Mus musculus: one gene and its partners. Each later gene encodes a partner of the first gene's protein in a complex. Links are inferred from orthologs where the notes say so. Each region holds a gene or a part of one and is shown on either strand. Other genes may lie near its edges.

The links.
Region 2: Nup93 (region 1) and Nup85 share a complex: the UniProt entries of both Homo sapiens proteins name them as parts of the nuclear pore complex. The link is inferred for Mus musculus from reciprocal best matches to the Homo sapiens genes NUP93 and NUP85.
Region 3: Nup93 (region 1) and Nup54 share a complex: the UniProt entries of both Homo sapiens proteins name them as parts of the p62 complex. The link is inferred for Mus musculus from reciprocal best matches to the Homo sapiens genes NUP93 and NUP54.

Annotation. Positions count from the first base shown.
Region 1 is NC_000074.6:94,298,705-94,309,250, reverse strand, and holds part of Nup93 (nuclear pore complex protein Nup93), read right to left. Parts: intron 8,492-10,546; coding exon 8,359-8,491; intron 7,184-8,358; coding exon 7,026-7,183; intron 5,652-7,025; coding exon 5,486-5,651; intron 5,092-5,485; coding exon 4,998-5,091; intron 4,012-4,997; coding exon 3,820-4,011; intron 3,227-3,819; coding exon 3,100-3,226; intron 2,978-3,099; coding exon 2,905-2,977; intron 2,650-2,904; coding exon 2,605-2,649; intron 1,411-2,604; coding exon 1,294-1,410; intron 348-1,293; coding exon 229-347; intron 1-228. UniProt on the Homo sapiens protein: Plays a role in the nuclear pore complex (NPC) assembly and/or maintenance. May anchor nucleoporins, but not NUP153 and TPR, to the NPC. During renal development, regulates podocyte migration and proliferation through SMAD4 signaling.
Region 2 is NC_000077.6:115,558,892-115,569,537, reverse strand, and holds the start of Nup85 (nuclear pore complex protein Nup85), read right to left. Parts: upstream 5,095-10,646; 5' UTR 5,009-5,094; coding exon 4,976-5,008; exon of another isoform or gene 4,936-4,975; intron 4,385-4,935; coding exon 4,291-4,384; intron 2,938-4,290; coding exon 2,775-2,937; intron 1,176-2,774; coding exon 1,105-1,175; intron 860-1,104; coding exon 816-859; intron 1-815. UniProt on the Homo sapiens protein: Essential component of the nuclear pore complex (NPC) that seems to be required for NPC assembly and maintenance. As part of the NPC Nup107-160 subcomplex plays a role in RNA export and in tethering NUP96/Nup98 and NUP153 to the nucleus.
Region 3 is NC_000071.6:92,428,230-92,438,875, forward strand, and holds the start of Nup54 (nuclear pore complex protein Nup54), read right to left. Parts: upstream 6,971-10,646; 5' UTR 6,842-6,970; coding exon 6,775-6,841; intron 6,754-6,774; exon of another isoform or gene 6,283-6,753; intron 6,155-6,282; coding exon 5,993-6,154; intron 2,894-5,992; coding exon 2,810-2,893; intron 2,725-2,809; coding exon 2,572-2,724; intron 98-2,571; coding exon 1-97. UniProt on the Homo sapiens protein: Component of the nuclear pore complex, a complex required for the trafficking across the nuclear membrane.

The DNA of each region.
Region 1 (10,546 bases):
CTGGCTGAGAACTCAGGGACTTTACTGAGCAGTAAGGTGGATTCTATAACAGTGCCCACAAAGCCCGAGAACACCCCCATTACTACCACTGAAGGACGTTCTGAAAGAAGGTGAATTAGTGTAATCTGTAGGGAACTGTCTGCTAGTGCCTCATGAAGCTGGACACACAGTAGGGCGGACTCAGTGACCTGGCACCCTCGGGCCCCACTGAGCAGGCCCGGGCCTTACCTCTCCGCAATGGAGAGGGCCATGTTCTTCAGCCTTTCTTTGTTAGACTGTGGGGCGCTGATCTGTGGGACAACAGGGCTTAGCAGCTTGTTCATCAGCTCCAGCACCTTGTCAGCATTCTGTTGAAGATTTTAAGATTCAGGGAACAATCAACAAAAGAACAAACTAATTAAGCAAAATAAAACCAGCAACTTTCTGGGGTGATGAACAGAACTACTCTATATTCTGAGACCAGGGTTGTGTGGACAGATCACCCAATATATACCTACCACTTGCATATTTTCCTATGTCCTAATTAGACCTCAACACAATATTTTTAAATTTAGGAGATTTATCTGTCTGTCTGTCTTTTTAAAAGAGTAATTCATGTATATGAGTACACTGTTGCTGTCTTCAGACACACCAGAAGAGGGCATAAGATTCCATTACAGATGGTTGTGAGCCACCGTGTGGTTGCTGGGAATTGAACTCAGGACCTCTAGAAGAGCAGTCGGTGCTCTTAAATGCTGAGCCATCTATTTACCCCTAGGAAATCTTTATTTAAAAAGATTTATTTATTTTTATCTTTTTGTGTTTATGGTTTTTTTTGCCTGCATGTACGGATGTGCACCATGTACATGCCTGGTGACTGCAGAGGCCAAAAAAGGTACCAGATCCTCTGGAACTGGGGTTATGGAGGGCTGTGAGCCACCATGTGGGTGCTGGAAAGCAAACCCAATTCTTAGGAGAGCAGCGTGAGCCACCTCTTCAGCCCCAGGACATCACCTAAGTCATCAGTGCTTATCACATACTCGTAGGGAGATGCGTTTAACTCAGGTTCTTGGACTGCACACTGTTGGCCACTGTAGAAAGCTACCACGGGAACCACAGTGGTTTTGACAGTGTCTACAGGAGAGACTTTCATTATGCTGTTATTTGGCCATAGATACTTTTCGGACAGTTAGACTTCTGTAAAATGGGAACTTGACCCTGATTGAACCATTTTTACGCCAGAGAACATGTTTCAGCTGGGACAGTAGTGCAGAGCTTGGGCATTCACGCCGAGTCAGGAAAAGGGAACATTACCTTAGCAAGGTCATAAAGCTTCGCTGCCTCTTCAAACAGTCCTTTGTTTTCTGCCACCGAAGCAACTTTGTTGATAATAGGCTTTGTGTCACTGGTAAACTTATCTATAACTCCAGGCTGACAAGACAAATATCAAGGGGAAGGGAAAGACTCAACACCCCGCAGCAACTGTGTCTCGGAACACACAGCTGAACAGTTGCCCTAGTCAACAGTCTTCATCTGCCAGACTCGGCTCTCCTGAAGACATAAGGCCCCACACCATAACCACAGAAAAAGACAGGGCACGTTAATGGGAGCACTATGGAGTCAGCTATGGCACATTAGTGGTTTCTGAGAGATTTTCCAAAATGACTAAGAGTAGGTAAAACTATTAGTGATTCTAAATTTGCTGGCAAGCAGGATGTTATGAGAAAATACTTTTAGGACTTTCAATTTGCTTTCTAAGACAGATGCAGGAAGTGGTGGTGAGGACTTTGAAATAGCCTCTGTCACCACTCACTAGCAGGCACACGATCAGGAGAGTCTGACAGGCCCCAGGACTCAGGGAGGGAAGACCGACTGCGCAACACTGTGCTTGACCGTGCATGCTAAGGCACCTTCAGGGCTCGGCCAAATTCCAGTGCCCTGCCCCTCAACCCAGGAAATGCACTGCATGCTCAGATTCCACTTGTGTGCTCTTGAAGAAAGTACTTAGCCACTTTTATTTCTGCTTTGGTTCTCACTTTGTGGGTGACTGTCTTACCTGAGTAAGATACTACACAAAGCCAAGAAGATGGCCCCCACTATCAGTACCGGCAGGCCCCTCATCTGGGCGCCAGGCCAAACCATGAGGTTTACACAGGAAAGTGAGTAGCTGTGGGCACCCAGGGGGGCCAGGGTTAGGACTGGGCCCTGACATGGGGCTTCTGCCCTTCTCTTACAGTGTCCCATGGCATGGTAAGTCCCAGAGGAGCTGCTAAGGCTCTTGGGAGATGGCATTTCTGGGGTTGGTGGGGAGTTCTGAGTACTCAGAGGTGAAGTGCATGTCTAACTTTCCCATCTGGAGAGAGTAGGCAGAGTAAACCCTAACTTTTCTTCATGTTTTCTGAGTCAAAAATACAGCTGCCTTAGCTTTAAGAAAAATGTCAGACAGAACATATGAAAACACTAATTACAAATTTATAAATTTTAAAGAAAGAAAAATGTGTGTAAAACTAATTAATGCTATCAGTTGGGCTTATAATTTCATCCTTCCATTTGTTACAATTCATGTATCCAGATGACTCCTACAGTATAACTACATTCTGACAACCAAGGACACATTTAACCTACCTTTCTACTTCCATCGTTCTCTAGTTTTCCAAGAATCATATCAAACTGTGGGGGAAAAAAGGTTTACTCAGCTTACTGGTCAAGGAAATAAACATAACACACAATTTCTTAGGGCAAAGGGAAAGGAGAGGTCTCTCACAACTAGGACACAGTGAGGCTGAAGTCAGTATTGTCAGTGTAAGAAACCAAAGCAAGCCCTGCCCTGCCTGCCTCCCCCTCTAGGCCATGTACAGCACACACACAGAGTAGAATGAGAGCACACTAAAAATTCCAGCCAGGGTGATGAGAAAGCTGACCTACCTCTCGACTTTCTATCACAAGCTCGCTCACACAGCGCAGAAACATGTTTTCTCCTTGACTGTCTTTCTCATCCCTACAAAAGCACAGGAATAGCTTGGGTGGTTTGTGGTACAGATGCAGACTGAGTCTCTAACAGTCACTGTCAGGATGGAGAAATAAAAGCTAGGCAAGTACAAAGGCAAAGGCAGGATTCACCTGAGGAAGTAAAAGTACTGGAGGGCTTCTCTTGGGTCCGTGGACTCAAACTTGCGGGTGTAGAGCATGAGCAGACGCACAAAGTTCAGCCGTCGCATGCAGGGAGGGTCGCCAGGCTCGTGGCTGACTGTACATGGGAACAGAAGGGCCCCTCAGACCCCCGCAATCCAGGACCCATGGAAATCAAGTGTATAAGCCAAGAAGCGTGACTTCTGTGGTGCAGTCCCCATTTCCCAGTACGACCTCACCAGTGGCTTCACTTTCCTTTGTACAGACAGTAGAGGTGAATGTCTCTATGGCAGATGGCCAGCAGATGGCCTTTACAGGAAACAACTATGTACCTGACCATCATGGCTCATGTACTGGGGAGAACGTGCTGACCCAGTCAGCCACTCACATTTACCTGGCTCTCTACCTGCCTCTCCTACCTAGGAAGTCAAGTTGATAGGTGGCTAGCTGGTGTTTCCAAGGTCTTTAAAGCCAGATCCCTAATGAACGTCATACTCATGACTCCTGGAATGGCTCTGCCTGGCATCACCCTTTAACATTCCAGGAAATGCCAAGGGGTTAAAACAAGCATTCTAACACTAACAGAAAAGCTCATGTACCTACAATGCTCTAAAATGACCAAAATCTGGAGTGTCTGTCATTTCCCGACTAGGAACAAGGGGGATGGTGCACTATGGCCACATCAATGCCAGCTAAGACCTAAATACTCACGGAGTTGAGCACTCTGTCCAGAGGACTTTAAAAGCAGCTTTAGCTCAAACAGCACCAGGGCCACATGGACAGCATGGCAGCGCAGCCGCTCCATGCGGAAGAGGAAGGCAATGGCAGCTTCAAACTGTGCAGTCAGGAACAGCACTTGAAAGTAGAGGAAGGGCTGCTGGTTCACCGTGAAGTGGGACTCGCCTGCAGGAGAGGAGGTAAAACACACTCAGAAGGATGCTGCCACCCACTGAGTGAATGGTCTCGTTGAGTGGAAAAGAAGCAGCCACATGAGCCTAAAGTAACTGAAGGGACACTGGGCACAGGAAACTACATGAAATGCCACCCGAAACCAGGCACGGTGGTGCAGGCTTCTAATAATTTCAGTCACAGCAACAGAAAGACAGAGACAGGTAGATCTCTGTGGACTCAAGGTCATTCTGACCTACAAACTGAGTTCTGTAACAGACAGAGAGAAGCCTTGGCTTAAAACAACAACAACAACAACAACAACAAAAAGACCCAGCTCCTCTCTAGGCCTCACTCATGGTTAGAAAGAAGGGTCCTGTTATAAAAATCTAAGCTGTGTGCATTAGAGAGGAGAGAGACGGCTCAAGATGCTGAAGTGACAGTTGTCTTCAATATACATAGAGACAGAAAATGCAAAGCGCATGTACAGTCGGCTTCACAGAAGCCTGAGCTCAGCAACAACAGCTGCAGTCACTGACCCTATACTTCCTACAACTGTTCAACAATGAGGAGGTCAAAGGGAAAAGCTACTCCTCTCCTTTGTAATCAGGTGTGACCACTAGCAAGATCTACAAGGAAGCAACTAAGGCCTTATTCACCTCTCTCCCAAGCAAGAACTAGAAAAAATGTTTATGGTCTATGACTATGAAGTCACAGCTTTCTATTTCCTTATGGTGGGGCCAGAGATCAATCAAACTCAAGGTCTCTGGAATGTCAGGCAAGTACTGCAGTACTGAGCTACAGCCCCAGACCCTTTTATTCTTATTCTGAGACAAAAATTTTACTGTTTCCTAGGTTGGCCTTGAACTCAGGATATTCCTGCTTCAGTCTCTCAAGTATCCAAGTGATGCATATTTCTTAACGCATAATGGTCTGTACCTGATTGAAAATGGTAAGCCATATACCCCCCCAAAGGAGATGGTGACTGTCCAGGATCTTACCATAGTCTTCTAGCAGCTGCTTCTGGAACTGTGAGAGAGTGAGCCTGTCTTGTGGTGAGCTGGTGCCGTCATCATCAAAACACACCTGGTTCAACTAAATGCCCAAAGGAAACAAGCACATTGGTACAGACTACACCGTCACCCACACGCAGAGCTGTAGCTGCCCAGCAGCTAAGCTTGATGCTGTGAGCTGGGGCTACATGACACACTGTGGTTCTTGGGGCTGGGCTGTATTTTAGTAGAGCATGACTGATGCCCTAAATTCCGTCCCTAGCAAAGCAAAGGGAAAGGGAAGTGGGGGAAGAGGAGGGAAGGAAAGAAGAAAAAGAAAGCTGACTGTGTAGTTATTAGTTGGGAATTACACAATAAAAAAAATAAAGTGGATTTGATACAAAATCCACTGTCCCTGTCCTGAGTACTACACAAACTTCATGCATTACGAGCGTTGAGCATGGCGGACTTGAGCAGCCAAAGGACACTGTGCCTACTTTTAACCATAGGTAGTCCTCAGTCTTGTCGGCTACTTCACTCTGATTGTCGGTGATATCGCATCTCCCAATAATACAGTACACAGCTCTCTTGTAGGGGTCTGTGTTGTTCCTGAGGGCTCTGCGGTAGTGAAGTCGGAGTTTGTTTTCTGTAGCTGGAGACAATCTGAAGACACAGAGAGAGAAAGACTCAGCAAAGATCCTGAAAGGTGAAGTGCAAGCATGCCCATAACAGTCTGGAAGCTCTCCATCATCCTGAGCACAGGGCCTCTCTGCTCACCCACCACTCTCACCTGACTTCTAATTGCTAGCACTACATCCTTTCGCCCATCGGCCTTCTACAGGTCTAAGACCTCATTAGGAAGACTGGGGATTCTAGGGCTCAATATTCCCTCCAACATCCCTCAAGCAGGTCCTTCCCTAAATGTCTTGCTGTTGACGTTTATCAGCATGCACATGTGTGTGCAGCAGAGGGTAGAGGGCAGAGGTCGACCTCTCATGCCACTCTTCGGGTGGGTGGTGGGTTTTGATACAGTATCCCTTTCTGTTCTGAGCTTGCCAATTAGGTCAGGCTGACTTGCCAGAGCCCAGAAAGCCGTCTTTCTTCACTTCACCAGTGCTGAGATCACCAGCTAGTGCTACCGTGCTTAACAAGGGCTCTGGGACTGAACTCAGGTTTGCACTGCAAGCACTTTTACCTACTGAGGTTGCACTCCAACTTCATCCTTCAACTTTCTTAACCTTGGGCCTCCACACCCCCTTATTCACACGGGCTCACCTTCCAAATAGTAGACCTGTACCCCAATCTTTGGCTCAGTTGGGTGCTAATGCTGCCTCTACCCCAGTGGTGATCAAACCCTGGGCTCTGTGTATGCTGGGCAGGCAGATGCTCCACTTCTGAGCTCATCTTCAGCCCTAAACCTACTTTAAACTATCTAAGCAAATCAGAGGCTTAGGATCTGAGATAACTTCCTAAAGTGGCAGTATTAGCCCTTGAGTATTGGCTTCCCACAGGAACCACTGCAGTGAGTGTCACATTTCTTCTATACATGTGCATATATACAAACTGGGTTTGAACATGAACGTGTGTCCAATTACATAAGCACAACCAACTGCTGCTTACCAGTCCCTTAGTTTAGGAACGCTTCTTGAGGCAGTGGTCATTATCTCAATGCTAACTTCAGACTGATGAAATTCTAGCTCTAACTTGAGTCATAAGGCATACAGCAAATAGCATACACATCCACATGACTGAACAAAGAATATTTGTATTTAACAAAGTAACTAACACAAAAAGACTCATTTTATTTCAGTTATTATTTAGTTAGTTTTCTGGAGACAAAACATCTTGAACTCACAACCTGATGTCTCAGATTCCTGTCTGCTGGGATTACAGGCACACACCAACACTCTTGGACAAAAAGTTATGTTTTATGAAGCAATCAGTCTTAACCTAGAGTCTGTTCCATGCAGTCCTCCACTGACAGGAAACTCACTAAATGCAGTCTATATCTGCAGCAAAGCACAGTGCTCATGGTACCTTCTATCCTTGCTGTTCATGTACTCCTGGAACCAAGTTTTAAATTCCCCAAGCTGGTGCTGGGCTCGACTGACGACTTGTGATGCGGCAAGCAGGTCTCCACAGCGCATGCAGTAATAAATTAATGCCCAGACAGGATGGCCTTCTACCTCTCCATCCTACAAGACAAAGGCACAGTCAAACAAAAGCTAACAAACACTTTGTGATGTGAGACACCCAGCTAAGGTACGCAGTTCCCACCATAACCCCATGGGCTAAGAGCCACTGATTGTATCCTATTCCCTGTGTTTCGAAAACACATTGAGTTGTCCAGGGAAAACTGGGAGTGGCAGTGTGCGATGGATCTGGAGGTACTGTGATGCCAACAGAGCCCACCTATGCTTTTTCTCCTAGCCAGCAACAATGGGATCACCTTCTTTGATTTTGACAAAATAAAGGCTAAAGATGTCACTGACTAATGAGAGCAATTCATCCACTTGAGCTTATAAAACTGAACATGACTTATCCCTCCAAATGTTTAACTGTCTGGATATCAAGAGCTGCGAGGTGACTGTCTCCCACTCCCAACGATGTGACCACCCACCCACTTTTCGCTTGTCCGTGGAGCAGGCCTGGCCTTGTACTGTTCGTTGTCAGTTCTTTCGGAACTCTTGGCACTCCCCGCCCTTCTGTAGCAGAAGCTTCATCTTGGCATCACGTGCCCTCTTCAACACGGTTAAGCTATGCAAGGCCACATGCTCAGCTTTGGGACTCAATGCCTTCCTTTACCAGCTAACCCAAAGCTTGCTAAGCCCTGCCACATGCCCTACCACTCCAGATACTCTGCTTTCTCTCTTGTTTGTCCACACTGTTCTCCCCGCCTGGAACAGCCTTCCAGAGGCCCACTGAGGGTGAGCCCCTGCTCTTTAAGAGTTAAGTTTGACCTTTTATGAAGCTAGCATCTTTAGGCACAAAGCTCCAGCTTAGCTTGTACATTCTATCAGACACTGTAAAATAACCCCCACCTGCAAGACAAGCAGGCAGAGGGACTAAATCACACTCAATGCCACTCTTTCAGCTGGTTTGCTTTAAACTTCTGACATATTCCTCACTTCGTGTCTTACACCCACATGTAAGTGTCTGAGAGAGCACTTAAAGCTTAACTTTGAAAACTCATCTGAGACATGGTGTTGGCACATCTCCTGCCTCTACTCAGGATTTTTGCATGACTGGTTTTGAAAGGGCCCCCAGGAAACAGCACGACCCAGCCTCTTTACCACACAGAACTCCCTTCAACTAAGAATGCCTAAGATCAACTAGTGGCTCTGGAATGTGTCTGGCCCTGCAGAGGTACCTGAAGTCCTGGTGAAGGAGCTGGCAGTTTAATGTTTAGGAAACTCCGAACCAGCTGGTAAGTCCCAGGCACACCGCCCAGCTGTGCCTGATGCAGATTTCCGAAGACAGTCACAAGGGTGTAATTCTTATAACTAGAAACATTTTTAAAAGAAAAAAAATGGTCAAGGTTGACAACATGTACTACACACATCCATCTCCATGTTCAGAACACATGACTCTGAGTTCTACAGGCAAGGGCTGACTTTAAATTTCATACAGAAAAGGAAACACCTATGCAATGAAGCAAATTCCACTCTTATCATTGTATAGATTTTTACTACAGGTACCCCAGATAATTCCTAGGAATACAGCTGAGGATTTCCAATACTTCAAGAGTGGAGCCTACTGCTCTAATGGGTTTGCTTTTGAAAAACAAAACTTATTTTAAAGAATTCGAAATCAATTCCATGAAAAGTCAGAATTGTCCAGTGAATTCCATCCTACCCTTTACCTAGATTACCAGGTTCTAACATCTGTACGCATTTCCTAGCTCTACCCTTCCTATCCCACACCCAAACATACATAGGAACAGGATTCTGTTTATTCCCAGAAGCATTTACAAATGTTGTTAAAAGGTAAGTATGTTACCTGACCTACCAACATTTCAGCCATGTACCTCCTAAGAGCCAGGATATTTTCCTACCTAACCCAAATGCCATTATGACACCCAGAAATTGAGTATTAACAAACTACTATCTAAAGCACAAGCCACTGTCAAGTTTTTAATAATGGATTTGACCTGATTCCTATGCTCATATTCACAATTCACCCGTCCCCAGTTCTGTTTGTTTGAGACAGGGTCTTACTCTGTGGTCCTAGCAGTTCTGAAACTGAAGGTGTGGGGGGAAGGGGACGGGGATACTTTGTATTTATAGTGATCCTTCTGCCTCAGCTTCCCAAGTGCTAGAACTACAGACATGAACTATAGCACCCAATAGATTGTTTTCCTTCTAAATCCCAGACTCAACTTATAAAATCCAAGGCTCTTTGCTTAACTGGCACCCACTTTCATTCCTCTTTAGTCCAGGGAGTTCTCCCACCTTCTGTCTTTCCTGATACCCACCTCTTTAGACAACCAAGAAAAGTTGTCTGACAGAATGCCTCACAAGCTACATCATTTCTATGTGACTAGGCTCAGACTTAAGATTTTGTAACCCAGTAACTAAGTCTTTGTACACAATGACAGTTTTACAATGAGAGTCTGCCACTGGCAGCTACTATATCTCTTGGCTACCAAGCACTGACCAGATCTTTCTAACAGTGCACTATAACATAAGACTCTTCTCTTAGTACTCAAGAAAAAACCTGTGTCTGTGTGGCTACTCTGTTCTCTGTCAATGTTTTATCTTACCTAATACTGTTAGCTCCCAGTGGCAGTCTATGCTGAACCATTATTACAGTGGGGACTACAGAATGCTATCAATTCCCGCGTCATTTCCCTACTTTGTACCATGCCTCTTTATAAGTGTTTCTACTCCATTATTAGACCACACTATAATCAGAACTTTAAAAACATGTTCTGACTGCCTCAAAAGGTCAGATAACCCATGAGCACAAAGATGTGCAATGTCCAGTTAGATGCTGTGAGCAGTGAGGTGAGAGAGGGGGAAAGACGGGGAATAAACCCAAAGACCAATTTCAGAGAACAAATCGTAAAATTTGATGCATTAGTAATAATGGTGTTTAAGAATTAAAAGTGAACTATGCAAAATTATGTATCATATATATCTAGATCATAACTACAAAAAATAAAACTAAACTAAATACTCATGACTAAAGAAGGAAGAGGAGGACACTATGAGGAGGCAAAAGGAGTCTCTAGGTGTGAGGGATGGGGACCTCTCTTCTGCAGGTCTTCTTTTCAGCATTTTCCAAAGTTTCCATAAAAAGCATGTATAATGGAAAAGAAGCACAAGGTAGTTTATAAATGCATTCTCCCCACCACTGCAAGTATTTAAACGCACAAGATGAGAGGACAGAGTTCTATGTAGTAGCCAGAGCAAACAGATGCCCACTACTACCTCTTCCAACTTGTAATAAGACACGTGTGCTGGCAAGATCCTAAATTAAAGAATTCTAAACTCTTGAAAACCAAGACAAATATATCCTATCTCAAGCCTTGGAACACGGAAGGGACAGACCAAGCC
Region 2 (10,646 bases), on another chromosome or scaffold:
GCACATCTGAGGCCTCAGCTACAAAGGGAACAGAAAGGAGGGTCACTGCAGCTTGCTGGTGTCCAGCATAGCCAAAATAACACAACTCCCAGGATCAAGAAGAAAGAGAATGAGCAGAGAGAGTGGACATTCAACATCTTCTTCTGTCCTCCACATGCATGCACAGGTACGCTTGTACATACATACACACAATAAAAACTGTTTTAAAAAGGTGACATGTCAGCCGAGGGCATAGCTCAGCAACAGTGTGCATACTTAGCACACCTACAACACTGGAACCAAGACCAGGCACTGCAACAACCGAAAAAGCAAAGCCCAACCTAAGATGCTTTAGGAAGATGAACGTCCCCCACCCCACCCCACCCCCCTCCATCACCCCTTGTTCCAGGGGGAGAGCATACTGTGCCCATCAGAGAAAGCCTATTTTCCCTGTTCATGAGTTAGAAAAGCTCTGGGGTCTCACTGAGGAAAGAGTCCTAGATGTCGCCTTCTAGTCCTGCTGAGTTATAACCACATGCTGCTTGACAACAATTCTGAGTTCATGAGACCAAGCAGTAGTCCTAGAAGCTCGGTTCTCCATCTCAAGTGACAACTCACAAACACCATGTGTTAGGACTCATCTTTTCCACAAGCAATGAAAACCCTGAGTTCCCATGGGCTAAAACCTTGACCAACACTTTCAAAGCCATACTTGCCATCCCAAAGAGCTGCTGATCTACCTGAAAAGGAGAGCCCTCCTGCAACAGGGACCACAAAGCCACCACCCTACGCACTAACACGATGTTGCCAATACAATGAAAGCAGCTACACCTTACCTGGCTGCTGAACTGCCGGCCACTGGCTGGATCTTTAGCAGCAACTAGCAGAATACAAAACACCTTAAGTCAATCAACCTGCACTGAATGTAGCTCATCTCCTAAGCCCTCAGAAGCCCCATACGGTTTTTGCCTTGGTTTCTTTTACCACCCACCCATTTTCATGTGAAACGCTTATGGATCACACATTAAAACAAGGACCTATTATGAACTGCACAGCAGCCTCCTTAAAGGCCTCTGGAGAAAACAGCACCAGATAACGTACTTCAAACACACACAGGGTCCTTACTTGCAACCTGATGCATTTCTTCCATACAGGCCCGTATGACTGAACGGTAATTTTTACTCACTCGAACCAATCTACAAAAAAAATGAAATGACATACAAGATGACATGGAACCGTATCTTGATGCTAGAAAGAGAGAAATCAAAAGACAGGAGACGGGCTGCAACATCAATTCCAGGAGCTCTGAGTGCTCTGGCCTCCAGTACATATAAACTCATGTGGTCACACCATACCACACAACAAACAAACAGCTTTGTCACAGTGGTTTTAAAGTGCGTACTACTGTTGGAAAGGACCAGAGTTCAGTACCCAGCACCCTTATCAGATGGCTCACAACTGGCTGCAATTCTGGTTCTAAGAAACCCAATGTCATCTTCTGATTCCCACAGGTACCTGCACCAATATGCACCTACACATACATGGTTAAAATAAGTCTGGACTGCAAAGACGGCTCAGGTTAAAAGCACTACTGTTGTAATCAAGCCTGTGGCGTATTTTCTCAGTTGATAACTGATATGGGAGGTGCCATCCGAAGCTGGCGGTCCTGGCTGCTGTAAGAAAGCAGACCGAGGGGCTGCAGAGATGGCTCAGTGGTTAAGAGCTCTGACTGTTTTTCCAGAGGTCCTGAGTTCAATTCCCAGCATCCACGTGGTGGCTCAAAACCATCTGTAATGGGATCTGATGCACTCTTCTGGTGTGTCTGAAGAAATAAATCTTTTTAAAAAAAAAACAAGAAAGAAAGAAAGCAGACTGAGCAAGCCACGACAGTATGGCAGTGTGCAGGGCTCCTCCACGGCTTCTGCATCAATTTCTGCTAAAATTCAGTGCTCGATGCTCCAAGCACTGAATTACCACAAGCCTGGTAATCGTGTCTGTAACCCTGAGCTTGAGAAGTAGAGGCAAGAGGACCAGAAACTCAAGGATACACACGTATTTGAGCACATACATAGCCTGGGCTACACAAGTCAGCAGAGTGCATGCCAGGTGTATGAAACCCAGTTTCACCCTCATCTACTTACTGAGCTCAAGGAACGAGCACAACAACAACAACAAAAAAGAGTGAATAATAGGAAAGAAAAAAAACAAACCGTAGCCTGGAGGGCTGGCCCAGTATCACGGCTCAGCAGCTGGGCACTCAAAGGCAGCTCGAGCTCCGCCACCCCAAAAGGAAGCAAAAAAACCAAATCCTGATTCCTTGTCAAAAACACAAGCTTGAGAAGCAAGTCTTTCTTTTCCATTTGCCTTGTCTGCTGACGCCTGTATTTCTTTCATATTAAGACAGGGTCTCGCTTCTGCAGCTCTGGGCGGCCTGGAACTCACTCTGCTGACTACCAGCTCTTAAAGATCTGTCAGCCTCGTTTTTAACTCTTTCAAGAGTGAGATCTAATTCAAGGGCTTCTCTGTCTGAGTCTTCCTTTCACCATATTTATATTATTTTTATTTTGGTCGGTGGTGGTGTTCAAGGGACACATACAAATGAAGTAGGAATCCAAAAGGAAGAGTTGATACATATATATCAAGCCAGTAAGTCTTCCAACAGCATTTACACAATGCACAACTACACCCTAAGAAGATACACAGGAGAACAGGAACCCCGAGGTGCCCCGGCACTCACAAGGATAAGGACGCCTCCCTCTCACGACTTCACTGCAGCCTCAGCACCCACCACTTACTGAGCTTTCCTGGACTTCCCCGACAGTTCTTCCTCAATTTTTTGCAGGCCAACAAAGATTCCATGGGATTCATTGAAGAGTTTTCTCAAAATTTGAGAGTAAACATCCACATCTTTCCGTATGATGTAGATAAAAGGGCAGCTCGGCACCTTCTCTGATTTGCCTGTAACAAAACAGGAAAAAAAGTAACTCAACATCTACCATTTTCCCCAAAAGAGAAAAACATCCCAGTACTTCTAATTCTCTAATTACAAAGCCCGGCTGAGCCTGGGGCACATGTCCACTTTCTCCACCGGTGGGAATGAGACGGGAGGATTAAAACTCAAGGGAAGACTAGTGCACACAGTCGGCCAAGCAAACCAGGTTTACGCCAAAAGAAAAAAAGATTTGTCTTCATCTGGTCTGTGTAGGCTGAGATTACAATACAAGCAGGCAGCACAACACAGACTTCTTTTTTGGTGATATTGATGATCTAATTAAGGACACTGCCCATGCTAAAGAAGTTATCACTGAGCCACTGAGTGATAGCCTACATCCTTGGTTTTTGAGAATGGGTCTGGCAACATATCCCAGGCAGCTGGGGACTCTCTATTCCCCCCGCCAACTCTTCTGCACAGTAGAAAATCTAAGGTTGCAAGCGAGCGTTGCCTGAACCCAGGACTTTGCCTTCAGCTGAGGCAGTCTAACTCACTTCTTTGGGCTTGTTTTTGTTGGGTTTCTCAAGACAAGATTTCTCTGTGTAGCCCTGGTTGACCTAAAACTCATTCTGTAGATCAGGCAGGCTGTGAACTCACAGAACCACCTGCCTCTCTGTCTCCTGAGTGCTGGGATTAAAAGGTGCGTATCTCCACACCTGGGCTATATGGGTCGTTTCTAAAGGTTAATTATAGGAAGGGGGCTGAAGAGATGGTTTGGCGTCTAAGACAACTGGCTGAAATTTCCTGCCTTTAATCCTAACACTCAGGAAAAAAGAGCAAGTAATTTCTGAGTTCAAAGCCAGCTTGGTCTAAACCAAGTACCAGGACAGCCAGGCTACACGGAGAAACCATCTCAAAAAACCAAAACCAAACAAGAAGTACACAGGCAGCTCTTCCAGAAGACCTAAGTTCAACTCCCAACACCCCATATGGCAACTCACATAAATATAGAGTTCTAGTTCCTAGAATCCAATGATCTCATTTGGCCTCTGCGGCACCAAGCACGGAGTGGTGCACAGTTATGCACGTAGACAAAATGCCCATACACAGACTATAAAATTTAAAAATTACTTAATGTCAAGTGTTGAACCACACACCTCAAGTCCCAGCACTCTGGAAGTCGAGGGAAGAAGATGTAGAATTCAAACCTACACAAAGATTGCACAAAGACAAGCCCACTAGGACTACATAGGGGCAACTTGTCTCAAAATAGCAAAAAAACAAAGTTTCAAAAATAAAAATATTGCCAAATAACTCCAGTTTCCTGCCTCAGAGAGTCAACCAATGTGCCAAGACAGATGTGAAAAAGAACTGCCTACCTGTTTGGTTGAAGGAAGTTTCACACAGAAGCATCTCGCCGGGGCCCCAGTCAAAACACATTTGCTTCTTCTTGGAATTCACACCTGGAATCCACTAGTAAGACATAAGGAGGCACAGGAGCTGTTAGCCCTACAACTGTCCATTCAACTTCCAAGTGTAACTGCGAACACCATACACCAGGCGAACAGCCTAGGTCGTATCCAATGATGCTGTGCACATATTCAGACATATACACACTTAAAAAAACATTTTCTAGGTGCAAGAGGAATAGAATACAACGCGACAGAAACTAGTCTATTGTCTCCCGTGAGAACAAATTATGCATTTATTAAGCCTCGGACTAGGACAGCAGGACAGGGAAAGGCCAACTCATCCCTTGGAGTGACCATGTGGGGCTTACACCAATCTCATTCTAACGCCCAAGGGGGGAAAACTAGAGAAGCAGAAAGGTTATAAAAACAAGGGTGATGCAGTGGGGTTTCCGCGAGCCGGCCAGTATTCACAGGACCTAGGGACCACTATTGCCATAACCTAGTTCCCAGTTAACCTGACATTCGGGATGGTGGCAACTGTGTCCAGGGAAGAAGCGTGCGTCCCGCATGTAGGGAGGCAGCCTGAAATGACCAAAGAAACGTAACCCTCACAGTGCAACAAGCCAAGCCACTCCACTCCGATCGCCCTTACAGTTACTGCGGGCTCGCAGTCGAGCTCCTCCATAGCGCCGTGCCCCCCGCGGCTGGGACCCTGCCGCGCGGCCGCTTCTCTGCGCTCAGGCCTCCCGCTCACAGACAGCTGCCAAAGAGGACCCCCTCCAGGGCGGCTTGCGCAGCGCCTGCAGACCTTAGCGCAACAGATCCCTTCGTCTTAGCCAAACACAGCCCCTTGAAGCCTTTCACACATGTTCCACTATTCTAACCTATACAACACATCATGAAAACGGCTCTAGGGCCCACGGGTCCTCAAGGAATGTTCCCAGTAGATCAGGCGGCGCCACAGACAGTCCCACACTAGGTGAGGGAAAGGTCCCCGGAGATGGCGGGAGAGGCGGTGGCTGGGAGGGTGTGCGCATGCGCAGAAGCGTGCTGGCGCATCTATTTCGATTGGAGAGCTACTCCGTCTCTGTAATCCTACTTTATCTCTTAGCGGTAGTTGTGATCCCTCCCTCCTGGTCTGTTATTAGAATATTCTCAGTCCCTTTTCCGAACTCCGACCAGTATAATGCGCTTATTTTGGAATTAGTCTCGGACACATGACATCCGTAAACAACGGGACTTCAATCTTTTATGTACTGGCAACTTTTCTTTCTTTAGGATTATTCTGAACTATTTCTACCTTAAATTGGTGGTCATACATGACTTGGAAGTAGGGCATAGTAACATAAGCCGGAAGATGCAGCACTTGGGAAGTAGAGACTGAAAAATCGGGAGTTCAGAACCAGCCTTAGCTACATGGCAAGGTTGAGCTCGCATCGGGGCTAACTGAGACCCAGACTCAAAAACCAAACTCCCACAAACTTTAAGGAAATAAAGGAAAACCTTTCTGTCAAATTTTTATCCAAATCCTAATCATCAGTGATTTAGGGAGCTAGAGTGTTGGCTCAGTGGTTAAGAGCATACGCTGTTCTTCCCGGGGAACCTGGATCAATTCAAAGCACTCACATACATGTGGAACAGTCCCAGGCAATCTGATGCCCTCTTCTGGCCTCTGTGGAACCAGGCACACACATGTAGTACACAGACATACACAAAACACCAGTATATATACAATAAAATAAATTTTATAATTAACTTTTTAAAAAAGATTGCATGTATGTGAGTAAACTGTCACTGTCTTCAGACACACCAGAAGAGGTCATCAAATCCCATTACAGATGGTTGGGAGCCACCATGTGGTTGCTGGGAATTGAACTCAGGACCTCTGGAAGAGCAGTCAGTGCTCTTAACTGCTGAGCCATCTCACCAGCCCTTAGTCTGTCTGTCTTTATTTTTTTGTTTGTTTGTTGGTTGGGTTTTTTTTTTTCTGTTTTGTGTGTGTGTGTGTGTGTGTGTGTGTGTGTGTGTGTTTGTTTTTCGATACAGGGTTTCTCTGTATAGCCCTATGCCTCCCTAGTGCTGGGTTTAAAGGCGTGTGCCACCACACCCGGCAAGCCCTTAGTTTTTCAAGACAGGGTTTCTCTTTGTAGCTTTGGCTGTCTTTGAACCTAATCTGTAGACCAAGCTGGCCTCAAAGTCAGAGATCTGTCTGCCTCTGCCTCTGGAGTGCTGGGGTTACAGACCTGTGCTACCACCACCCAGTGACAATATTTATTTATTTATTAAAATTATTTATTTTAGGTATGTGAGTACACTGTCTTGAGAACACCAGAAGAGGGCATCAAATTCCTTTACAGATTATTATGAGCCACCATGTGGTTGCTGGGAATTGAACTCAGGACATCTAGAAGAGCAGTCAGTGCTTCTAACTGGTGAGCCATCTCTCCAGCCCCCTTGTTTTTATTTTTCTGTCCGTTGGTTTTTCCTACATGATGTCTGTGTGAGGATGTCAGAAGCCATGGATCTGGAGTTACAGACAGTTGTGAGCTGCCATATGAGTGCTGATGATTGAACCCTGGCCCTTTAGAAGAACAGCCAGTACTCATATGTGTTGAGCTATCTCTCTAGCCTCAAATATGTTTTTTTTATTTTATGTATATGAGTACACTGTAACTATCTTCAGACATACCAAAAGACAGCATCAGGTCCAATTACAGGTGGTTGTGAGCCACCATGTGGTTGCTGGGAATAGAACTCAATTCTCTGAAAGAATAGTCAATGCTCTTAACCACTAAGCTATCTCTCCAGCCCTACCAACAATTTTTTTTTACTGTTTTAACAATTCTTTTTTTATTATTAGATATTTTCTTCATTTACATTTCCAAAGCTATCCCAAACCTCCCCCACACACACCCACTCCCACTTCTTGGCCCTGGCGTTCCCCTGTACTGAGGCATATAAAGTTTGCAAGACCAAGGGGCTTCTCTTTCCAATGATGGCCAACTAGGACATCTTCTGATACATATGCAGCTAGAGACACAAGCTCTGAGGAGTACTGGTTAGTTCATATTTTTGCTCCACCTATAGGGCTGCAGATCCCTTTAGCTCCTTGGGTACTTTCTCTAGCTCCTCCATTGGGGGCCCTGTGAGACATCCAATAGCTGACTGTGATCATCCACTTCTGTGTTTGCTAGGCCACGGCAGTGCCTCACAAGAGACAGTTATATCAGGGTCCTTTCAACAAAATCTTGATGCAATGGTGCCAACAATATTTTTTAAGGAGAAAAGAAAAAAACTTAACATTTTCCCAAGTAAAAGTAGTGATTAAAGCCGGTCATGGTGGCACACACCTTTAATCCCAGCACTCGGGAGGCAGAGGCAGGCAGATTTCTGAGTTCAAGGCCAGCCTGGTCTACAGAGTGAGTTGCCAGGGCTATACAGAGAAACCCTGTCTCGAAAAAAAAAAAAAAAGTAGTGATTAACTGAGCTTGGTAGCTCATGTTTCTAATCCCAGCATTTGGATCTCTGAGGCAGAAGGATAATAAGTTCAAGGCCAGCCTGGGCTATATCACAGACCCTGTCTCCTCAACAAAATGTACCTATGATACCAGTAGCATAATTTGTAACAAAAGATGGTAAGACAACAGTCATTAGCCCAGCCCTCACTATGTAACCCAGACAAGCTTCAAATTCACACTTGTCCTCCTGTCTCAGCCTACAAAACATTTCTTTGTCAGATATGATCTACTATGTCTGACTCTAAAATACTTCTATTTCTCCCCCCCCCCCGGGGGGGGGGAGGTATGTTTGTGTGGATGTGAGTATGTGTGTGGATGTGTGTGTGGATGTATATGTGTTTTTGTGTCTGCTAACCAGTAGTGTGTGAATGTGTGTATACAGGTATTGTTAGCCATTTATTTATAGTAGTGCAGAGGCCAGAGGAAGACATTGGGGTCATACACTATTCATGTCCCTGATTTTTTTTTTTTTTTTTTTGGAGACAGGGTTTCTCTGTATAGCCCTGGCTGTCCTGAAACTCTGTAGACCAGGCTGGCCTCCAACTCAGAAATCCACCTGCCTCTGCCTCTCAAGTGCTGGGATTAAAGGCATGTGCCACCATGCCTGGCCCATGTCTTATTCCCTTGATACATACTCTCTCACTAACAAGGAGCACACATGTAAGTGAGGCTGATATACACTCACACTTGACAATAAACAAACATATGGCTAGAGACTCGACTCAGAGGCTCTTCCTACTTTTACAGAGGACACAAGATCAATTTCCAGCCTCTAGTAGGCAGCTTGCCAGTCTGGAACTCTAGTTTCATGGAATCAGTGGCCTCCACAATACTTAATGTTACACATACATGCTGGCAAACACTCATATATATAAAACATAAATTTTGTTTTTAGTTTTAAAGTAGAGACCTGCCTGCATCAGCCTCCTGCGTGGTGTGTGTGCCATTACCTCCCAACAATTTTTGTTTTGTTTTTTTTGTTTTTTTTGTTTTTTTTTTTTTAAAGATTTATTTATTATATGTAAGTACACTGTAGCTGTCTTCAGATGCACCAGAAGAGGGCATCAGATCTCATTACGGATGGTTGTGAGCCACCATGTGGTTGCTGGGATTTGAACTCAGGACCTTCGGAGGAGCAGTCAGTGCTCTTACCCGCTGAGCCATCTCGCCAGCCCAACAATTTTTGTTTTGTTTTGTTTTTGTTTTGTTTTGTTTTTTTCAAGACAGGGTTTCTCGGTGTAGCCCTGGCTGTCCTGGAACTCACTTTGTAGACCAGGCTGGCCTCGAACTCAGAAATTCACCTGCCTCTGCCTCTCAAGTGCAGGGATTAAAGGCGTGTGCCACCACACCTGGCCCAACAATTATTTTTAAAAAAAAGCGAGACAGGTTAAATAAAAATTATCAGCTGAGGGCTGAAGAGATGGCTAATCAGTTAAGAGTACTGACTGTTCTTCCAGAGGTCTTGAGTTTAATTCCCAGCAACCATGGCTCACAACCATCTGTAATGGGATCTGATGCCCTCTTCTGGTGTGTCTGAAGACAGCTACAGTATACTCATATACATAAGATAAATAAATAATTAAAAAATATATCAGCAGAGCATGTTGATGCCTCCTTGAAATTCCAGAATTTGAAAGGCTTAAGCAAGAGAATTGCCATGACTTTGAGTCCAAGAAAACTACATCTCAAAGACTAAAAATTAAAAAGAAGTAAGCTGTACAAAGTCAAGTGAATGTTTGGGGTTCTTTTGTTTGTTTGATTGATTTATTTTTTCGAGACAGGGTTTCTCTGTGTAGCCCTGGCTGTCCTAGAACTCACTCTGTAGACCAGGCTGTCCTCGAACTCAGAAATCTGTCTGCTTCTGCCTCCCAAGTGCTGGGATCAAAGGCATGTGCCACCACTGCCCGGCATGCTTGCCTGATTCTTACAGACAAGAAGAAAGTATCAGGTCCCCTGGAAGTGGAATTAGAGACACTTGGGAACCTTCTGATGCAGGTGTACAGAAGTGAATCTGAGTCCTCTATAAGAGCAGCAATGGGGCTAGTGAGATGGCTCAGAGGGTAAGAGCACTGACTGCTTCTCCGAAGGTCCTGAGTTCAATTCCCAGCAACCACATAGTGGCTCACAACCACCCATAATGAGATCTGATGCCCTCTTCTGGTGTGTCTGAAGTCACCTACAATGTACTTATGTATAATAATAATAATAATAATAATAATAATAATAATAATAAAATCTTTAAAAGAAAAAAAAAGAGCAGCAATGTTCTCAGCATTGAGCCATCTCTCCAGGCTCAATGGTCCCCAGCTCCTTTTTTTCCAGACAGAGTTTCTCTATAAAGTTCTGACTGTCCACTGTCCAGGAACTTAGTGGGTAGGCCAAGTTGACCTTGAACTCAGAGATCCACTTGCCTTTGGCTCCCTTGTACTGGAATTAAAGGTGTAGGCTCCCTTGCCCAGTCTAATCTTGAACTCTGTTTCTTGAGGGGGGATTGGTTTTGGTGCTTGAAACAGGGTCTTTGGGGCTAGAGAGATGCTCTGTGGTTAAGAGCACATATTGAACTTCCTGCGGACCTGAGTTGGATCCCCTGCACATATGGCCATGTGGCTTACAATTGCCTTTAACCACAACTCCTTGGGGATCTGACAGCTTGGACCTCTGTGGGTACTTGTACTTATGTGCATACATACACACACACACACACACACACACACACACACACACACACACAACACACACACACATAGCATCACTAAAATAACAAGTGCTAGGCACAATGGCACAGGTCTTTGATCCCAGCACCTG
Region 3 (10,646 bases), on another chromosome or scaffold:
CCCAGTAGCGTTGGAGCAGAAAGTGCGCTGGCAGTGTTGATGAGCTGGGTAGACTGTGCAGGAGCCTGGGTCGGCTGACTGAAGAGACCACCTAAAGCTTCAGCAGGAAAAACAAACAAACAAGCCCAGGAAACTTAGACCCACGGTATGGTAAGCAAAATACGCCCCTCCCAGCTGTCGGTATTGCAACTTACAGAATGGGTTTCTATATTATCTTACATATGGGCGAGACTGTAGCCAGGTCAGAACAGAAGGAAAGCAACAAGCATTGGCAGTCCAGAAAGCCTCTGAGGAAGTCAGAGACCAGCCTGGAAATGGCTGAAAGGCAGGTGAAATGTTCTCAAGTGCAGTGGACCCCTCTGAGTACAGGGATGAGTGCATGGCTAATACAGATGCTACAATAACCCAAACTGGTAGCATAGTTATAAAAAAAAGGTCAGACTGATGAAATATGGCCAGAGCCAGCAGACACAGAGACCAAGTGCTTCAGAGACAGTGCAGTCGACAGCATCTCAGACAAGCAGGGCTTTAAAATAAAATAGTGCTGCAATCCAAATTTCCTCTTCAAATTGTATCTGAGAGGGTTAAACAGAAAACGGCATGTTCAACCATGTGTGGTATCTTACACTTGTAATGCTAGCTAGCACTTGAAAACAGGTAGTATGATTGCCAGAGTTTATGGCCAACCTGGGCTACATAGTGATTCCAGGCCAACCTAGGCTATAGAATAAGACCCTGTCTCAAAAAGGAAAAAGAAAAGAAAAGAGCAAAGGGAAAACACTGTGTCCAGGGAATAACCAGGGTCTCAGCTACGACAGAAGTCAAGGGTGTTTGGTGAAGAGCAAAGATGCAGAGGCACTTACTGAAATAGATTAGAAGAATCAGGAAACAATCTAACAGCTAGCAAACATCAGCCTACAACTAGAATTTAGAAATCAGTCCGGACCTGTCAACAAGGATCATAAATGTAAAGGAACAGTCTCCATGTCTGCAGTTAAGGTGTGAACAGGCTGAGGAGGGTGGCTCAGTGATCAGGTGCTGCTACAGACCCGAGGACACAAGCACGGGCAGCAGCACACACTGGGCCCATGGTGCCGGGAGGGGGGCTGGGGAGCCCCAGGAACCAGCTGGCCAGTGGTCTAACCAATTCACCAGGCTGCAGCTCCAGTGACTCGCTCTCAAAAACCAGTCAAGACTGATTAAGGAAGACCTCCACATGGGCACACACTCACACACATAAAATTTGGCGAGTGACATTCTGTGACAATGAGAAGCTTCTGTAAAGCAAAAATAATGACAAGAGTGAAGACAACCTACAGAAAAGGAGAAAATCCTTGGTAGCAACTGACCCAATAAAGTAGTCACATTTAAGATATTACAAACTCCTAACATTAAAATAAAAATCAAGCAAATAATCCAATCAAAACTGAACTAAACCCGACAGTTCGCAGCAGCTGAGAGTGCTTGCTGCTCTTCCAGAAGGCCCAGGTCTGACTCACAGCGAGCCAAGCACATCACAAACAAAACTGAAATGCCTGACAGCCTAACTCTAAAAAACAGGACCCAAAAGGCTGAGTCTGATGAAGCAAGATTTTAACGATGCACTCCTAGGAACAAAGGGTTGGAGAGACAAGCCCTTATTTTGGGGGGGGGGGGGGGGAGAACGGGACCCAGAGGGCTGATTGTATTTCCAACATTAAAAAAAAAAAAAAAGAAAAAAAATCAAAACACACAGGTGAGGTAAAGTTCCTTACAAATGAATTCAACAAACGAATGAAAAAATCTACATGAACAACACTACTTCTTAATCTGTAATAAATTAACTCATCTAAGTAATGATTACCAATGGCTGCTAGCATCATTACAAAACCACATATTTAGATATTATACATTGCATGATAAAGGATATTCTATGACACAGTCTTAAAAATAAAATACTGAACTATCCCCAACAATTAGGAGATACAGATGACAAAGATTATGTTAACTATACAAGAATGACTTCAGTAAAGTACAAATAGAAAACCTGAAAGACAAAGATCTGACTTCATCTGTGAATTAATGATATAAAAGGAGCCTGCAGAGATCTAAGAATGGCAAAATGATCTGTTCAGTTCACACTCGTGACGTTCACACTCATGATGTTCACACTTGTAAACAGCAGAACTACAAAGGAAGGGAAGAGGCTGTGAAAGCCGGGACACAGCTCGTCCCATGGATCAGTGCTATAAGGGAAGATATGGAGTGTGCTCAGGTTCTGCCTCAACATGACAAGGGTGAGCCCGTATGTATAATCTAGTAAACTATACCCCGACACAGAAATCACTACAGCTTTCATGGACTGACTTCAAACGTAGGGCCCTTACAGTCCCAATCATACCAGTCAGTCTTTTTCCTAATTCCAAGAATGCATAAATATTATGCATCTTGGAATAACTTTCTGGAATAAATATTATGCTTTCGGAACTCTTTGGGATACAGTTACAGTCCTTAAAACTAAGGCAATCTGTATCCGAAGCAACATTGCTGTTACTGCCACAATTTTATAGCTGAAGGTAAAATCCCACTTACAAGTCTGCTGCTGCTGCTGCTGCTGCTGGGTATTAAATCCTCCAAATCCAAGTCCGGTTCCCAAGCCAGTGCCTAAACCAGTGCCAGTTCCCGTCGTTGTGCCAAAACCAGTACCAAAGCCAAAACCTTTGTTCTGAGTGCCACCGAGAAGGCCTTTCAATGAGAAATCAGAATTGAGTAAGCTAAAAACATCAACCTGTGCCACATTTATGTCTTAGGACTTAGGATAACCTCTTACCTGTACTGCCTGTGTTTGTTGGGGCTGAAAAGCTGAAGGCAGAGCCTGCAGTTGTAGTTGTTGTTCCAAATCCTCCAAACCCACCTAATTAAAAACGGATAAAACGTAAGGGTCCTTTTGTGCACACAGCGGGGATTGCGTTTTCATTTCAAATTGTTTTGTAAGTAGTTGCTAAATATAAAGGACATATTGATCTAAATTTTTCTTTTCTTTTTTCAACATAGGTTAAAAAAATCCTAATTACTTACTAATCAGAAGGTCAATGCATTGCAAGAAATAAATGACCAAGTGCTTTAGACAGAAATAATACAACACAATACAAATCCCGTTAACTAAATGGGTAACGTGATTGAAAAAAAATTAGACTGTCCTAAGTCTAAAATGATATATATCCACTTTTAGACTAGCTATTACAAATTCAAGCGTCCATACAATTTTGACTAATAAATTAATGACTGTTTACTGACAGTGGAGCTGTTTAAAGTGAACCCCTTAACAAAGAGCATTCTCGAGAGTCCAGAAGGCTACTGTAGGTGTGAGAACGTCACCACTCCCCTCTCCCCTTCCCCAGCAAAAATAGGAAATCTAGATCCTTTGCATAAAACCTGTAGGGGTTTGCAGAGGTAGGGAGTGAACGAATGGCTGAGTAAGTCCTCTACCCTGAACTATGTCTATAGCTTACTCACAGTCTTTTCAAAATCTCCTAGTTCAACGTTGCTGTTTTACAACGAACTCAACTGTTTAAACAGTGCCAAGCATACGATGGCAGCAGATGGCTTGCTTTGCCAGCTCTCAACCGTAATTCTCGTGAGTTAAATTACATCTCCATTAGCTTTCATTAGGGATGCCCTTAGTCTGTGTGAAACAACTACTAAAGGAAACGTACCAAAACATACCAATATGTCTACCTCTATAAAATAAGAATGTCTTTTTTTTTTTTTTTTTTTTGAGACAGGGTTTCTCTGTGTACCCCTGCTGTCCTGGAACTCACTCTGTAGACCAGGCTGGCCTCGAACTCAGAAATCCACCTGCCTTTGCCTCCCGAAAGAATGTCTTTCTTGAAGGAAGGAAAAAAAAAAAAAATAAGTGGAGAAATGGCAAAGAAGGTAGCCTCAGCTACCATGGGCCTGCGTCACACTGTGGCAACCTGACAGGTTCTATTTTTAACTAAATCTATTTAAAAAAAAAAAAAAAGAAAATCAATCTTGGTATATCTTAACAATGTAAAAACAGAATGAAATGACAACCTAATTTAAAGTATTGGCAGCAGTTATCTAGTTATAAATATGCTGCCAAAAACTCTCAAAAAAAAAAAAAACACTTGAACTCTAAATGCTGAGTTACACTCCAAGTTTTCAGAGATTCTAACTTGAACCTCATATATTTCTTGTAATAAGAGAGCCTCTTCAAGATTGCAATGAGATGGATGTCTTGGTATACGCCTGCAATCTCATAGAGAGAGACACTAAGGCAGGCTTACAGTTTCTAAATGACCCTGAACTACACAGTGAGATGCCATTCTAAAGAAAAAGAAATGAATTAGCTTCAATCAATTTTGTGGCACTGGTATTAAATCCAGGACCTTGCTCATACAAGGCAGGCAAGTAGTCTACCACTACCCTGTACTCTTAGCAATACAATTCAGATTTTAAAAATTATTAAATAGGCAACTGAACACATGTTAATTTATAGATTCTATCAAAATACTGCCAGCCAAACATTTTGACATAACCTCTAAAATAAATACTGTCTATAGAGCCCTTTTAACTTCCTACTTTCAAATAATAACTATGTTATTCGAATTGGCTACACACTAAAAATGCTAGTCAGTATCTTGTCATGTTTCAGATTATCAAAAACACTCTTATTAGTAATAGTAGTCCTATATGGATACAAAAAATGTAATTTTTTAAAGCTCTCTCCTGAAGGCTGAGTTAATTAACATATTTGAAAATAGTCAAAACACACTTGTATTTGTACAATTCAAAGTAACAGCGACAACGCCAAATGGACATGAAATCAAGCAAATACAAACAGGTTTATTCGTTGCTGTTAAACTATATGGTTTGCTTTATTCTGAAACATAAATTTCAAAATAAGGTTTGTTTTGCCCAGTGCCAATTTTAAGCAAACTAGGAAAGGTAAACACCCCAGGGGTGGTGGGTGCGGCTTCTAATATTTCTTAATGAGTCCCTTTATCTTTGGAATTTCCAAGTATTTTTCACTATTTTTAACTGAGAGGATAAGGTGACATCAACAATGTAAAACCCAGTAAATGGACAAAATCCCCAACTTTCCCAGTAAGTTTAGAAGTAAGGCTTACCAAATGCATATAATTGGCACGGGCAGCAGTGGCTTGACGGAACATAAACTATGGACAGTACATTCATATACGAGCAGCTGAGGATGGAGAGTTTTCTAAGAGTCATACGGATGTCGAGCTCACATAAGCCTAACTTAAATTGGGTCGTACACATCCATTAATTTGTGTTCTGAAAAATTTCAGTGATCTTCAAACAAGCCACAGATTAAAAAAACCAAAAAACCAAAAACCTTCATCATCCTCTTTTTGAAAGTAAAAGATGCCGAGCCTACTTTTTAGAACTCAGTGTTAATTGGTAAATTAAAACTACTCATGGAAAATTTCCCAAAAACCCAGCAAAGAATCCGGGATTCTTTCTACAATTATATATAGAAATACATCCTAATATATTGAGTTAATGCTAGAAAAACATCGTTACAGTTTGAAAAACAAGACAGGTCGCTGCTGTTCGTATAAGACTTGTTTCTCTTGGAAACACAAGGACAATAAGATGAAATCCCAATGAAATATGTATTAAAAAATGAAAAATGACTGCAGGAGTCCAAGAATCCCAGGGAAACGCTTACCTTCTGCTAAAGCTAATGTTTTAAAAAATATTCGGTTCCCAACTTATCATTTGGAAGCTGTGCTCTGTATCATTAAATGAAAATCCAACCAAGGTGCATTCTAATTCTTTAAGGCTTTCCAAAACCCACATCTTTTAAAGCAGCCAAAACTTTAAATATATTTGATTTGATCTTAGGAAATAAACCCCTTTCTTTATTAGACAAGTGCCATTTCTTCCCCCAAACTCTAGGGACATCGGAACATTCTTGGACTCCAGCCCCCATACTCGTTACACACATGACCCCAGTATCTACCTGCACTCGCCAGACTGTTACCAAAATTGAACGGAGTCGCCGAGGTAGTAGAAACACCGAAATTCCCAATATTAAAGTTCACTGCAGGGTTAGCGGTTAATCCGAAACCCCCAAAATTAAACCCACCGGCGGTGGAGTTGGCAGTCTCAAGCCCACCAAATCCTGATAGTCGTGGAGGCAAGAGAAACAAAAATTTGAAAAGGTGAGAGGAGGGAAAGAGAAAAGGAGAAGAAAGAAAGGTAAGAATTACAAGAATCAGCAAGAGGTTTCACAGCGTGAACAAACCTGACCTGCACCGGATCAGGGGAAGAAAGCCAAGGTGCGGACAGACAGAAGGAGCGAAGGGCAGCACGGGCGGGGGCCGAGCATCCCCCCCCCCCGGGCTGGGGAGGGGACAGAGGGAGCTGCGGGCAGCCTGGCTCCAACTTTACCCGTCTGGACCTTGAGGCTGAGACGGACGAGGGGACGCGGGGTCCCGGGAAATGAGAGGGGCGTAGCCTCCGGCCTCTCCTGGGCGGACACCCCAATGGCGGGAAGCACCGCGGCGGCCGAGCCACGCGGGTTGAGCGTGCTGTGCGAGCCCCAGGCTGAGCCTGAGCAGCCCGCGGCCCTCCCACCGCCACCGCCGCCGCCACCACCGCCACCGCCCTCTCCAAATGACTCCAAGGTGTCCCGAGTGCCAGGGCAACCCCGGGACCCCCCAGCCGGACCGATCGGATCGAGGGGGCGGGCCCGAGGCTTTGGTTCCTTGGAGGAAGAAGGTAGGCCCAGGGCTGACTCACCCGCCGGTGCCGCGGTGGCTGTAGAGGTGCCCGAAGTGCCCGAAGGAGCCCCAAAATTGAAAGCCATGTCGCGGGAGCAGCACTTAGATGGCCCCGGGCTCGCGCGGCGCGACGCCCAGTGCCCTCCGCTCTTCTGTCCGGCTGGGAACCGTCAGGCGGTCCGTACCATTAGTTCCGCCTCCTTCCCGGTCTAAGCGGAGCAGGCAGGAACCAAGCAAGGATGGAGTGGGTGGGATGATCGAACGGGAACGCCTACCACCGATCACTTCCGGGGGTGTGTTTGTGGCTTTCACGTGGTGTGGGGCGTCACCACAAAGGGGAAGTGATGAGAAGTTGGACATGGGGTGTTGTATGGTGGCTCTCTGAAGCCACTTTAGAGAAGTGACAGTGTGCAGGGACCGCGTGAAAGTACTGCCCTTACCTCTGAGGAGCGGTCCTTCCCGGAGGAAAGGAGGTTTGAGTAGATAAAGCAGTTGAGAAAGAGGCATTCGAGAGTGATGGAAAGATGATGGCGATGGTGGTAACACGTGTGTTAGCTATGTGGAATGCACGCTAGTAATTGTTTTTGCATATTTTTTTAAACCCCCAGCTGCGTTTCAGACAGTTTACTACTATTGTCATTGACCAAGAAGAAGGGCTGACCTCGATGAAGCAAATGGGCCCACTAACTGGTAAAATCTGTGCCCTGCATCGCACTTCTGGGGAACATTTAATCCTCAACTACACAGAGAAGATTTCTGTCGTTGACTAATTGGCACAGACGAGACAGGAGGACTGAGGATTAGAGTTGCAAAGCAGCATCCCCAAAGTCACTTCGCTGGTTTTTCTCTACTTAGCCCCGATTCTTTTCTCCTTTTAAAAATATTTATTGTACATGGCACTGTGTTACATTAGGACATCTTGATACAAGTTTATGTTGTATTTTGAATATATATTCCTACTCCTAAATTTTCTGTCTTCTCCCTGTCTCTCCCATTAGTTCCCTAGTAATTTTACTTCATTTTCCATGTCATATGATTTATGTGTTTAATTAAACCTAGGAATCATAAATGAATTTTTTTCCTTCTGTGACTGGCTTAATTCACTTAATAATGTTTATCTCCAGTGATATTCAGTTTTGTGCAAATGACAACATAACTTCCTTCTTAGGGCTGAAAACTCTTTTGAGTATATACCATCCTCTGTTTCTGATCCATCCCTCTGTTGTTAGGCAACTAGGTTTGTTAACAATTGTGACTAATGCTTCAGTAGAGATTGATATACATCTATGTGATAGACTAACTTGGAGTCCTTATAGACATAGCTGGGTCATGTGGTAGATCTAATTTTAGTTTTCTCAGGAACCTCTTTGCCCCATTTTGTGTGTGTGTGAGAGAGAGAGAGAGAGCACATGCATGTGTGGGAAGAGTGTATACACACATATGTGCACACGTGCCTGAAGGCCAGAGATTGACATGGGTGTCTTCCTAATTTACTCTTAATTTCTAATACAAGGTCTCTCAATAAATCTAGATCTCATCGCTTATTTGGCAAGACTGTCCAGCCAGCAAGCCCCAGGGGACTCCTGATTCTGCCTGCCCAGTGTTATGGTTATACATGAATGCCACTGTGCTCAGCGTTTGTTTAATTTTAAATATGGGTGATGAAGATTAAACTCATATCCTCAAACATTAACAGCAAGCACTGTACTGACTGAGCAGTCTCTCTGGCCCCACCTTTTAAAAAAATTACCATTACATTCTGTTTCCCTGCCGGGCGTGGTGGCACACGCTTTTAATCCCAGCACTCGGGAGGCAGAGGCAGGCGGATTTCTGAGTTCCAGGCCAGCCTGGTCTACAAAGTGAGTTCCAGGACAGCCAGGGCTATACAGAGAAACAATGTCTCAAAACAAAACAAAACAAAAATCTGTTTCCCTATAGATTATGGTCAGGATTTCATACATTCTTGATAGCAGTAAGAAAACCTTTGAAGAAGCTTTAGACCAAAGCATCTTATGATCAGAATTTAGTTGTTAGAGACAAGCATGCATGTTTGTGCATGTCTGTAATCTCGGTACCCAGGAGGCATGAGCAGGATTAAGTTGGAGGCCAGCCTAGGATACACAGTGGAAGTATCTCAAACGATTGTGTGTGTGAATGTGGTGTATGCATGTGTGTACCTGTGTGCAGGTGTGCATGCTCGTGCATGTATGTGGAGGCCACAGGAGGACATCTGGTATTCTATTCCTCTTCACCTTAGTCCTTTGATACAGCATCTCCCATTGAACCCAGAGCTTGTGGCTTTGCCATCACTAGGTCCCAGGGATCTTCCAGATGGTACCAGCCAGCACAATTGTTAGACATGCATGGGTGCACCCAGCTTTTTATATGGGATCTAAACTCAGTCCTTATGCTTATATAGTGTCTTAGAGGGTTTCTATTCCTGCACAAACTTCATGACCAAGAAGCAAGTTGGGGAGGAAAGGGTTTATTCGGCTTACACTTCCATACTGCTGTTCATCACCAAGGAAGTCAGGACTGGAACTCAAGCAGGTCAGGAAGCAGGAGCTGATACAGAGGCCATGGAGGGATGTTCTTTACTAGCTTGCCTCCCCTGGCTTGCTCAGCCTGCTCTATTATAGAACCCAAGACTACCAGCCCAGAGATGGCACCACCCACAAAGGGGCCTTTCCCCCTTGATCACTAATTGAGAAAATGCCTTACAGTAGGATCTCATGGAGGCATTTCCTCAACTGAAGCTCCTTTCTCTGTGTTAACTCCAGCCTGTGTCAAGTTGACACAAAACTAGCCAGTACATATAGCAAATGTTGTTACAAAATTGTCTCCTCAGCTCCACCCCCCAAGATGATTTTAAAATGCTTAGATTTATTTTGTCTCTATTTACACGCATGTGCGGGTATGTGCCTGTGTGAGTGGGATAGTCTCAGAATCCAGAGAAGAGGGTATTGGATCACAGGAGCTGGAGTTATAGGAAGCTGTGAGCCCCATGGTGTGGGTGATGTGATGGGAACTGAACGTGGGTCCTCTGCAAGTACTTATTCTTAATTGCTGAGCCATCTCTCCAGCCAATCCTACCTATCTGTCAGGCTCTGCTTTCCTGCCTCTGCCTGTAGCATGCGAAGGACCCACAATAACAACTGGTAGATCCTGGTGGGGGTGGGGCTGGCCACAAGGGGGATGGGGTGGGCAGGAACAACCAGGGATGAAGACCTCAGGCAGCATGTGATTGTGATGGGACTGCTTCAGTGAGACAGGGAGTTTAATGGGGCTGGGGGAGAAAGCTATTTAACCTTTGATGGTTGAGTAGGGACTATTGGGGTGACTGTACATCATTGTTGGGGTCGAGGGTCCTGGGGACACCCCATTTTTGTAAGGAGGAATTCCAGGTGCTGGTGGACATGACCTTATAAGGAGAGAGGAAGTGTAACCTGGCTACCAGGGAGTGGGGCAAAGGGCAGAGCACAGACGTATACACACCGGGACACACAGGCCGGGGGCAGGGGTAGAGAGAGTGACCCTGCTCCAGCCAATCTCAGAACAAGATCTCTGGGGTTTGGACCCCACTCTTGTTCCGGACCCATCCGACGGTTCCACCCACACAACACCTACGCAAATTAATTTTCACGAGATCCCTCTGGTTACCATGGGGAAATTGAAGGGGGCCTGCATATCTGTGGGAAGCAGGGCTGTTAGGGGTACTGAAGGGTTCCATAATGAAGAGATAACAAAGGCTCGACTGTAGCTCCGGCATGTGATGTTGGGAGAACAAACTTCAGAGAGAGGTGATAAATAAACTACATAGCTTCACTGCTTCAAGAACACAAGGAAACTCCCTGGTTGCTGCTCAAGTAGATACGGGTAAATGGTGGGTCA